Linked DNA regions of Arabidopsis thaliana. Each later gene encodes a partner of the first gene's protein in a complex. Each region holds a gene or a part of one and is shown on either strand. Other genes may lie near its edges.

The links. Proteins that work in one complex are often made in the same cells at the same time.
Region 2: TIM50 (region 1) and TIM17-1 share a complex: the UniProt entries of both Arabidopsis thaliana proteins name them as parts of the TIM17:23 complex.

The regions. Positions count from the first base shown.
Region 1 is NC_003070.9:20,901,006-20,906,476, forward strand, and holds TIM50 (Haloacid dehalogenase-like hydrolase (HAD) superfamily protein), read left to right. Parts: upstream 1-2,060; 5' UTR 2,061-2,157; coding exon 2,158-2,467; intron 2,468-2,704; coding exon 2,705-2,802; intron 2,803-2,981; coding exon 2,982-3,018; intron 3,019-3,105; coding exon 3,106-3,167; intron 3,168-3,256; coding exon 3,257-3,370; intron 3,371-3,538; coding exon 3,539-3,643; intron 3,644-3,733; coding exon 3,734-3,832; intron 3,833-3,924; coding exon 3,925-4,081; intron 4,082-4,176; coding exon 4,177-4,279; intron 4,280-4,369; coding exon 4,370-4,415; 3' UTR 4,416-4,848; downstream 4,849-5,471. Other genes in the region: AT1G55880 (Pyridoxal-5'-phosphate-dependent enzyme family protein), read right to left, coding at 1-135; AT1G55890 (Tetratricopeptide repeat (TPR)-like superfamily protein), read left to right, coding at 359-1,555; ZIP11 (zinc transporter 11 precursor), read left to right, coding at 5,156-5,471. UniProt on the Arabidopsis thaliana protein: Essential component of the TIM17:23 complex, a complex that mediates the translocation of transit peptide-containing proteins across the mitochondrial inner membrane.
Region 2 is NC_003070.9:7,041,565-7,045,360, reverse strand, and holds TIM17-1 (translocase inner membrane subunit 17-1), read right to left. Parts: upstream 1,734-3,796; 5' UTR 1,625-1,733; coding exon 968-1,624; 3' UTR 769-967; downstream 1-768. Other genes in the region: DRT112 (Cupredoxin superfamily protein), read left to right, coding at 2,088-2,591. UniProt on the Arabidopsis thaliana protein: Essential component of the TIM17:23 complex, a complex that mediates the translocation of transit peptide-containing proteins across the mitochondrial inner membrane. Links the inner and outer membranes.

The DNA.
Region 1 (5,471 bases):
AACAAGCCCGTTTCTCATAGTCAACTTCTCCTTCCTCTTCTTCTTCTCGGAGAGACGGAAAAAGAAGCTGTAAGAAGTAAGCATCAACAACGCCGCTGCTGCAACAACAGCGCCAGTCATATTAACAGGCGCCATTGAAGCTCAAGCTCGCCTTCTCCCGTAATCAAACCGGTGAAGTAAAATTAGGTCGTCGGCAAAACAACACTATTTCTATTATTTGTTATTCTAGCCCCCAATATTTCCTTTAGTTAAAAATAAGGCACTAACATTTTTTAAATTATCAGATGCGTCCTTCATTTGATTTGTTCTTAAACTCGTCTCCTGAAGGCTGAAACCCTTTGCTCTCACTCCCAAAACGATGTCGTCTCTATCTCGCGTTCTCCGTGGCACCTTCAACACTTGCCCGATCCGCCGTTTTTCCTCCGCCGCCACCGTAGTCTCCGAACCCACCGCAGTCACTGCCGCAATCTCGCCTCCTCAAAAGTCACTAACCAGTCTCGTGAATGGCGAACGAAACCCCAAACGGATCGTGGAGAAATTCAAGAAGGCATGTGAGTCGGAGCGGTTCCGGACCAACATAGCCGTGTACGATAGAACCGTGCGCCGTCTCGTAGCCGCAAAGAGATTACACTATGTCGAAGAGATTTTGGAGGAGCAGAAGAAGTACCGCGACATGTCAAAAGAGGGATTCGCGGCGAGGATCATTTCTCTGTATGGAAAAGCCGGCATGTTTGAAAATGCACAGAAGGTGTTCGAAGAAATGCCAAACAGAGACTGCAAGAGGTCAGTGTTGTCCTTCAATGCCTTGCTTAGTGCATATAGACTTTCCAAGAAATTCGATGTGGTTGAAGAACTTTTCAATGAGTTACCTGGAAAGTTATCAATCAAACCAGATATTGTATCTTACAATACTTTGATTAAGGCATTGTGTGAGAAGGATTCTTTACCTGAAGCTGTTGCATTGCTTGATGAGATTGAGAACAAGGGACTAAAACCTGATATAGTTACATTCAACACACTTTTACTGTCTTCGTATCTAAAGGGACAGTTTGAGCTAGGGGAAGAGATATGGGCTAAAATGGTGGAGAAGAATGTAGCAATAGACATCAGGACTTACAATGCTAGGCTGCTTGGATTAGCCAATGAGGCGAAATCGAAAGAGCTAGTAAATCTCTTTGGAGAACTTAAGGCTAGTGGGCTCAAACCTGATGTTTTCAGTTTCAATGCTATGATTAGAGGATCTATCAACGAAGGAAAAATGGACGAAGCTGAAGCGTGGTACAAAGAAATTGTGAAGCATGGTTATCGTCCTGATAAAGCTACCTTTGCTTTATTGCTTCCTGCTATGTGTAAAGCAGGTGACTTTGAGTCTGCGATTGAGCTCTTCAAGGAGACATTCAGTAAGCGGTATCTTGTCGGTCAAACAACGTTGCAGCAGTTAGTTGATGAATTGGTGAAAGGGTCTAAGAGAGAAGAAGCTGAGGAGATTGTGAAGATTGCAAAGACCAATGATTTCTTAAAGTTGAAGCTAAATTTGCCGTCCCAGGAAGAGTAAGTCATTTGCTACTCTCTCACTAAGTGTCTCGTTGAATTGTGTCTGAGCAGCTTAAGCTATATGTATTTGCTGGTGTTGCTTTGTGGCTTTTCTACTTCTCTAAACTTTCCTCTGTGGAAGTAAGACTTGTTTCTTTCTATGTAGTTTCGCTTATTTCACTGGTGCAAAAAACAGCATGTAGTCGAGGTTTAGGCAGAAGAAACCCTACAAATTTAATAAATTTTGGTTATTTGTTTTCTCTTTTTGACACGAATGAATTTATTATTTTTGTTGGAAAAATATTTTCATTTTATTTGGTAAATAAATAGTGTAAAATAACTTCATTAATTAGTTATTAAAAGCCCGAAATGCAAAAATAAAATAAAATAGATTCTCTTCTTGGTAAACAAGTAAAAAAAACAGCAAAAAAAATAGAAAAATATCGGAGTAGAAATAAACCGACTACCAAACAGTGGATAAGAGAGTTAAAACGAGCCCATAAAACCTGTTTCCAAACAGTCCATCTGTTAATTTTCCTTTTCTCCGATCAATTCCAAAACCCTACTTCAACCCTGCGATTCATTCATCATTCACAGAGTTTGAAGAAAACGCCGAAATCGGAAATGGCGTCTATTGTTCTTCGATCTCGCCTGTTGCCAAGATTAGCAAAGCTCAGATCTCGTAATCTGAGATGTTTCTCTGCGGAAGCATCTTCGACGAATTCTACATCTAGGTATTCGGGAGTCACCTCTACCCAGTCGATGTTTTCTGATTTTCCACCGCCAAATCAGCCGCCACCTCCTCCTCCTCCTCAAGTGGAAGCTGCTGCCGCGGCTGCGACGGGAAAGGAGAGGAAAGGTCTTAAGTATCTTGGTTACGCACTCCTCTGGGCACTCACTGGTGCTACCGCTGCTACTGGTTACGCAAGTTTTGGTATGTACTTGCATTCATGAATTATCTTTTTTCCCTCTCGTAGATTTCTAGTACAAAGTTGTTTTTGCTGTGAAATGCGAGTAAAAATGTGTTATGGTTTGCTTAATCGTGGCATTGCATTACATTTTCACATATCAGTCTTTTGAATTCAGTGTTCTTCACTTGGTAGAACTGTGTCTTTCTTCGTTATGTTGACTCTTTTTAGTTCTGATTATACTTGTTTGTTTCGTTATGCAGCTTACACGATAGATGAAGTGAATGAAAAGACTAAGGCGTTCCGAGAATCAGCTACGAAGACACCAGTTATTAAATCTTCTGGCATTGATGTGATTGATGTGAGTAAGCTTGGTAGCCTTGAGTCGCTGTCAAATTAATGTTGATCATAACTTGCTTCTGTATTAGTTGACTTTCTTTAGTCTCTGGCTTTCAAATGCGTGCTGCCATGTTTCTCTGCTTCAAGGTATTGTTTATAAGCTTCTCTGAATTAATACCCTTTATACTCATCTTTCTGCAGAAATATCAGACTAAGTTGTACTCTGCTGCAATGACAGGTATAGTTCTTGCGCCTCTGTCATCATAACTAATAGTATGTCTTTAATTAAGCATAGCATGAGTTGGTTTGCTTGAATTTTGATCAGGTTCTGCTAGAGCCATTGATAAGTATTTAGAGCTTAGGGAAATTGTGGAGGAACAAGTGAAAGTACGTCCTTTCACCGAGACACAACTTTTCTTTTTCTTGCATCTTCTTTTTTCTTCTAGAATTCTTATTTTTTGTCTGGTTCCTTATAGGGCTTCACGGAACCTCTCTCGGAAAAGCTTCTTCCGGATCTGCACCCCGCAGAACAGCATGTCTTCACTCTAGTTCTTGATTTAAATGAGACACTGCTTTACACTGACTGGAAGGTAACATTTCATTTATTTACTGATCATCAAAATACTTGCATCATAGATGTGAATATGTGACTCAGAGTATCTATGTTATGAAACAAAGCAGTTCTGGTGAACTACTTTGTTTTCTTAAGTAGTGCTGTATTTAACTTTTCCTGCCTTTTCATTTACAAAAATGTCTAGCGGGAAAGAGGGTGGAGGACATTCAAAAGACCAGGTGTCGATGCATTCTTGGAGCATCTTGGGAAATTCTATGAGATTGTCGTGTATTCTGACCAGATGGAGATGGTAAAGTCCCAATTGGTTTTTCTTTTTTCTCCTTTTTTGCTTGTAATATCATAGTAATGCGACTACTAACGCTTGTTTCATTACTTGTAGTATGTACTCCCGGTCTGTGAGAAATTAGACCCAAATGGCTACATACGTTATAAGCTAGCAAGAGGCGCTACTAAATATGAAAATGGAAAGCACTATAGGGTACGTAAGCAGCTAGCTTATCTTGTCAAAGCATACTTTCTGACTTGCCCGAGTAACTGTTTCTCAACTAACTATTAAAATTCCTGCTGCAGGATCTGTCAAAGCTGAACAGAGATCCGAAGAAGATTCTGTTTGTTAGCGCAAATGCCTTTGAATCAACCCTTCAGCCAGAAAATAGCGTGCCAATCAAGCCTTACAAACTAGAAGCTGATGACACAGCCCTAGTTGACCTGATACCCTTCCTTGAATGTAAGTATTGGTGAACTGAGGGATAAGTTCTGTTCCAGTCCGTGAACTGCCTGTATCAATTTTGTTTGGTTGATCTTCCTGTTTGGGTTATGCAGATGTTGCACGTAACAGTCCAGCAGACATCAGACCGGTTCTGGCCTCTTTTGAGAGAAAAGATATTGCCAAAGAGTTCATTGACAGGTCCATAGAGTATCAAAAGTGAGTCGATCAGAGCTTTTTTTTTACCCTATCGTATCAATGCAAAATCTGTTGGTAGTGTCCCACTAAGAGTGTCATATCTCTATGCAGGCGAAAGCAAGGACAACTGGGACAAGGTCGATTCTGGAGGCGTTAAAGGATCTAAGATTTATGTATAGAGCGAGAGACAATTATATCATCATTGATGGTGCACACCATAAAATAGGAACATGAGCTACCGTTCTTCGCTATGGATTTATTAGGTAAAATCCGAATTAAAATACTGTCTTTGTCATCAAAGAGTTTTTATGTTACCCAATTTTCCTCGTCTTTCTCTCTGCTTTACATAGAAAATTTCTATGAGAACGAAAAAGAAATTATCATATGGAAGGTTCATTTTTCGTTGACTAACAAATACCGTTTTTTTTCTCTGATTTATTTTTACTTGGTTTGACAAATGATTTATGATTATGAACTTTGAGAAATTATTGGTTGAAACGTCAATTTGTATGTATTGCTAAAAAAAAGAGTAAATTACCTTTTCTAGTACGCTTAATATTTATCTGTCTGTTTCAATGCGTGTCTTAAGGTGCAATATCAGGTTTACAATTAGGTAAATCAATTACAGATTTTTCTTGTTAATCTGAACCAAATAATTGTACTTTTTCCTAAATTTGAATTCATAAAGAGGGTCCAAGTCTAACAACCACTTACAAAGCTCCTTCACCCGTAATCCTTTTCAATGTGTCGTAATCAACCAACCAAAAACCATAAATTTATTGTAGTACAAAACAAAACTCCATGACTTTAAAGTACGACTCTTAAACACCACTTATATATTACACGACATATCGCTTAACTTCGAATTTCAGACACACAAACCCACTGAACATTCAAATGTCTCGTTCTCTTGTCTTCTTCTTCCTCTTTCTTGTCTTGGTCGTCCCTTGTCTCTCCCATGGAACCGGAGGAGACCACGACGACGATGAGGCTTCGCACGTTAAGAGTTCCGATCTCAAATCCAAATCCTTAATCTCCGTCAAGATCGCATGTCTTGTCATCATCTTTGTCCTCACGTTCATAAGCGGTGTATCTCCTTATTTCTTGAAATGGAGCCAAGGGTTTTTGGTTCTTGGTACACAATTCGCCGGAGGCGTGTTTCTTGCAACCGCCTTGATGCATTTCTTGTCGGACGCTGATGAGACGTTTCGTG
Region 2 (3,796 bases), about 14 Mb from region 1:
TGTTTTATATCTCGTAAGGGTCTGCAAAGGATTCACATGTCCATATGGAAGAGGTAGACTTTGGTGTGCATACCCTTACTTCTTCCGGACTCGATATCCAATTTCCCGAGGTAATTCTATAGAACAATCTGTAACACATCAAGTTGATAGTATATTCAAATCAAACACTTTTTTTGGTATACATGCATTACTTCTGAAAACATTTTCCTGTGAGATGATGAGTGATTATACGGACAGAGAAGAAGTAACACCAATGAAGGAGCTTGCTGAGAGATTTACTATGTATGATCCATTTGAAACTGACAAAGAAGATTCAGAAGACATATTTGTAAGAGAATGTAACAATGTTGATCTACCCTTTATATAATCCACACCTGCATTAATCTCTTTTCTTTTGTACTCTTTCGTTGGATTCAGGGGAAAACAAGACGCTATGAAATAACGAGTACAATAGCATTGGCGGTGAAACGCAATAAGGAAGTCATGTTTCATGAGAGGTTTCGGGAGAATGGTAAATGGAACCCCAATGACTTCACTTTCAACATCGCCTAGTTACAATATGAACTTTTCTGAGTAGTATTGTTGGTACTCTAATATATCTTCCACAACACTATATCTCAAATGTCTAAGCACATATAGTAGTTGTTGGTTCACTTTATATTTTCCATCTATTCAATTCCATAGTATCTCTTTCACTTTATAATCCATGTATGCTTCTCAATTCCAGTGAGAGAACTTGTTAATTTTAAAACTTATACGAGCAACATTATCACAAGAAGTTAACCTTCACGCTAATCATGTTGTAACAATTGGTAAATTATACATAAAACCAGACGGTATTATATCAATCCAAATTGACAATAGTCTCTAATTCATAATATTATTATATAAAACTTATTGCAGAATATATAATTCTAGTTACTAAGCTCTTAACATTAAAAGTAAAATTCAGACCTCAATAATTCCATCACTTAAACTCATAAGTAGGCACAGGAGGAGCATCAAAGCTCTCCAAAATGTGAGTTCTGCTCTCTGAATGATGATCCTCTGTTTCTTTCTTCTTCTTAAACAAACTCCCAAACCAAGATACCGAACCAGAAGAAGAAGAAGAAGTCTCCGGTACCGGTACGGACTGACCAGATATCTGACCCATACCATATGGTAAAGAAGTAGCTGCATGATCCTCCATGAACTGCTCGTTATGCGCAGTACTCTGAACTTTGTTTAACATGATACCAACTCCTTCTATCATAGCCAACAACACACCTCCGACTAAAGCCGATCTAGCAGACGCGCCTAAGCCTTGACGCAACGAGAGGAATCCTCCAGTGGCTGCACCAGATAAGATCGAGTTCCATGGATCTTCCTTTTGTCTTGCGTACACCAACGCACAATCGAAGGTTGAGTAAAGACCACCCCACACGGAGAAGCTTCCTCCGCTTCTCGGCCCGCTCATTCTCAAAGCTTGAACGCCGCCGGAGAGACGAGCTCCGCCGGGAGAGTTGTAGATTCCTCTTATGAGGTGATACGCTGATCCACCAACAGCACCCATCGCAAACGCACCTCCGACATCATCTAGGATCCGATCCGGACATGGCTCTCTCGATGATTCTGGAGTTCCCATTGATTTTCGATTTTGATCTACAAGTAACTTTTTAGGGTATAAGAAAAGAGCCCTTGAAAACGAAACTAAGAATGAGGAAAAATTACAAAAATGGAAAAATATCGTGTTGTTCACGTTACTTGACCATGGTCAAAGCCCATTAAGGCCCATTTGTAAACACGCTTTATCACAAAATACTAATATAAAAACGCCACGTCATTCAAGAACCTTATCTTTATTTAAAACGTGGACAAACATCCTCCACCTCATAATGCCATGTCACGACACAGTATCTAAAATCAACCAATCACAACGCGTCTTTATAGATAACTTGTTTTTTTATGGAGTTTGCTTTTAGAGCCATCCATTGTCCTATCTCACTTTCTCTCTTTCACCACATAAAAACTCATAAACTCGATCGAACCAAAGCTAAACGAAAAACTTAAAACCCAAATCTTATCACTACTCTAAAAGAATCTTCATCATGGCCTCAGTAACCTCAGCCACCGTTGCAATCCCATCTTTCACCGGCCTTAAAGCCTCAACCATCAAATCATCCGCCACCGTCAGAATCCAAACTGCTGCTGTTGCATCACCGAAGCTTACAGTGAAGTCATCTCTAAAGAACTTCGGAGTCGCGGCCGTAGCGGCTGCAGCTTCAATTGCTTTGGCCGGAAACGCCATGGCAATAGAAGTTCTCTTGGGAGGAGGGGATGGGTCGTTAGCTTTTATTCCCAACGACTTCTCTATAGCTAAAGGAGAGAAGATTGTGTTCAAGAACAACGCTGGATACCCACACAATGTTGTCTTCGATGAAGACGAGATCCCAAGTGGCGTCGACGTGGCCAAGATCTCGATGGACGAGCAAGATCTACTCAACGGTGCGGGAGAGACGTACGAGGTTGCTTTGACCGAGCCAGGGACTTACAGCTTCTACTGTGCGCCACATCAGGGTGCTGGTATGGTCGGTAAAGTCACCGTTAACTAAAATGTGTGTGTGAGTAAGTGAGGGAGTCTCGGACTCAATTAGAGGCTCTTCTTTCACATTCTTACATTATTACATAAAGTGTTTTGTAATTCTAAAGAGTGTTGAATCGAATGGACCGTGATTGTTGTTGTACTGTGACTGGTTCCATAAATGGTTTTTCTTGGTTTATATATGTAGTCTTATGTCTCGCCCTGAAGTTATGATTAATTTAAGTAGGAAAGTGAACTGTTTGAATAAGCGCTTTTCATAGAGGTATTTAGTTAGATGGTCTAATTTGAAGAAAATTAGATATATGACTATGGTGCTAAATAGTAGTTGGTAAATAATTATTTTTGTTGCAGATTGACCAAATTATCTCAATGCACTCTTTGGGCTATTGTGTATTTTTAAAAATGTGGCTGTAGATAAAATAGTAAATTATTGGATGAACATGTAATCTCGCATCATGAATAAAAAAGTGCATGATAGCATGTTTTTTTTTTGATTAAACAGTGTTGTTATAACATATTCTTGTTTAAAAGACGCACAAAGCCATTAGTTATTTATGGACAAATTTGTAATCGACCAATTACTTGAAAAATAGAAGGTTTGTTAGTGCAAATTCCCTATTTTGGATTAAATCGAGAGTTGTGGAGCCAGTTGATCTACCATCACAATTTCAAAAATAATCTAAATTACATCCTTACTAAACTAGCTAAGACATGTCACAAAATGTAATAATGTGTATAAATGCAGCATATCAACTTTGCTCATTTCGTCAGAAGGGTTTTAGGCTTTTAGCTATTAGTCTTCCAGCTATCTCATTGATCACTAGTTTATGGTGTCGGAGTCCATCCATTTACTAAAACAATGCATTTCACTACGAAGCTAATGGGTAAATGCCTAGTGAGGTTCAAAAAGTTAAACATCAAAAATCTAGTGGCCCGTTATAAACGATCATAGTGATTGGCCCAGTAAGCCCACTACCACAAGCATTAAGTTTTCAAGGGAAATATACAGATAGTAAAATAATTGGTCTAAAGAAAATTGGAAAATTTAACCCGTGCCAACAGAAGTATCAATTAAGTTGAGACATCAGAGATACAAAAGTTAAATAAAAAAGGTGAATCAAAGAGCATCTTTGAGGTGTTATGGTCTGATTAGAAGCCAAACAAGAAAGCAACAAAAGATGAAACGAGTGAGTCAGTCATATGAGTCGACTTTTT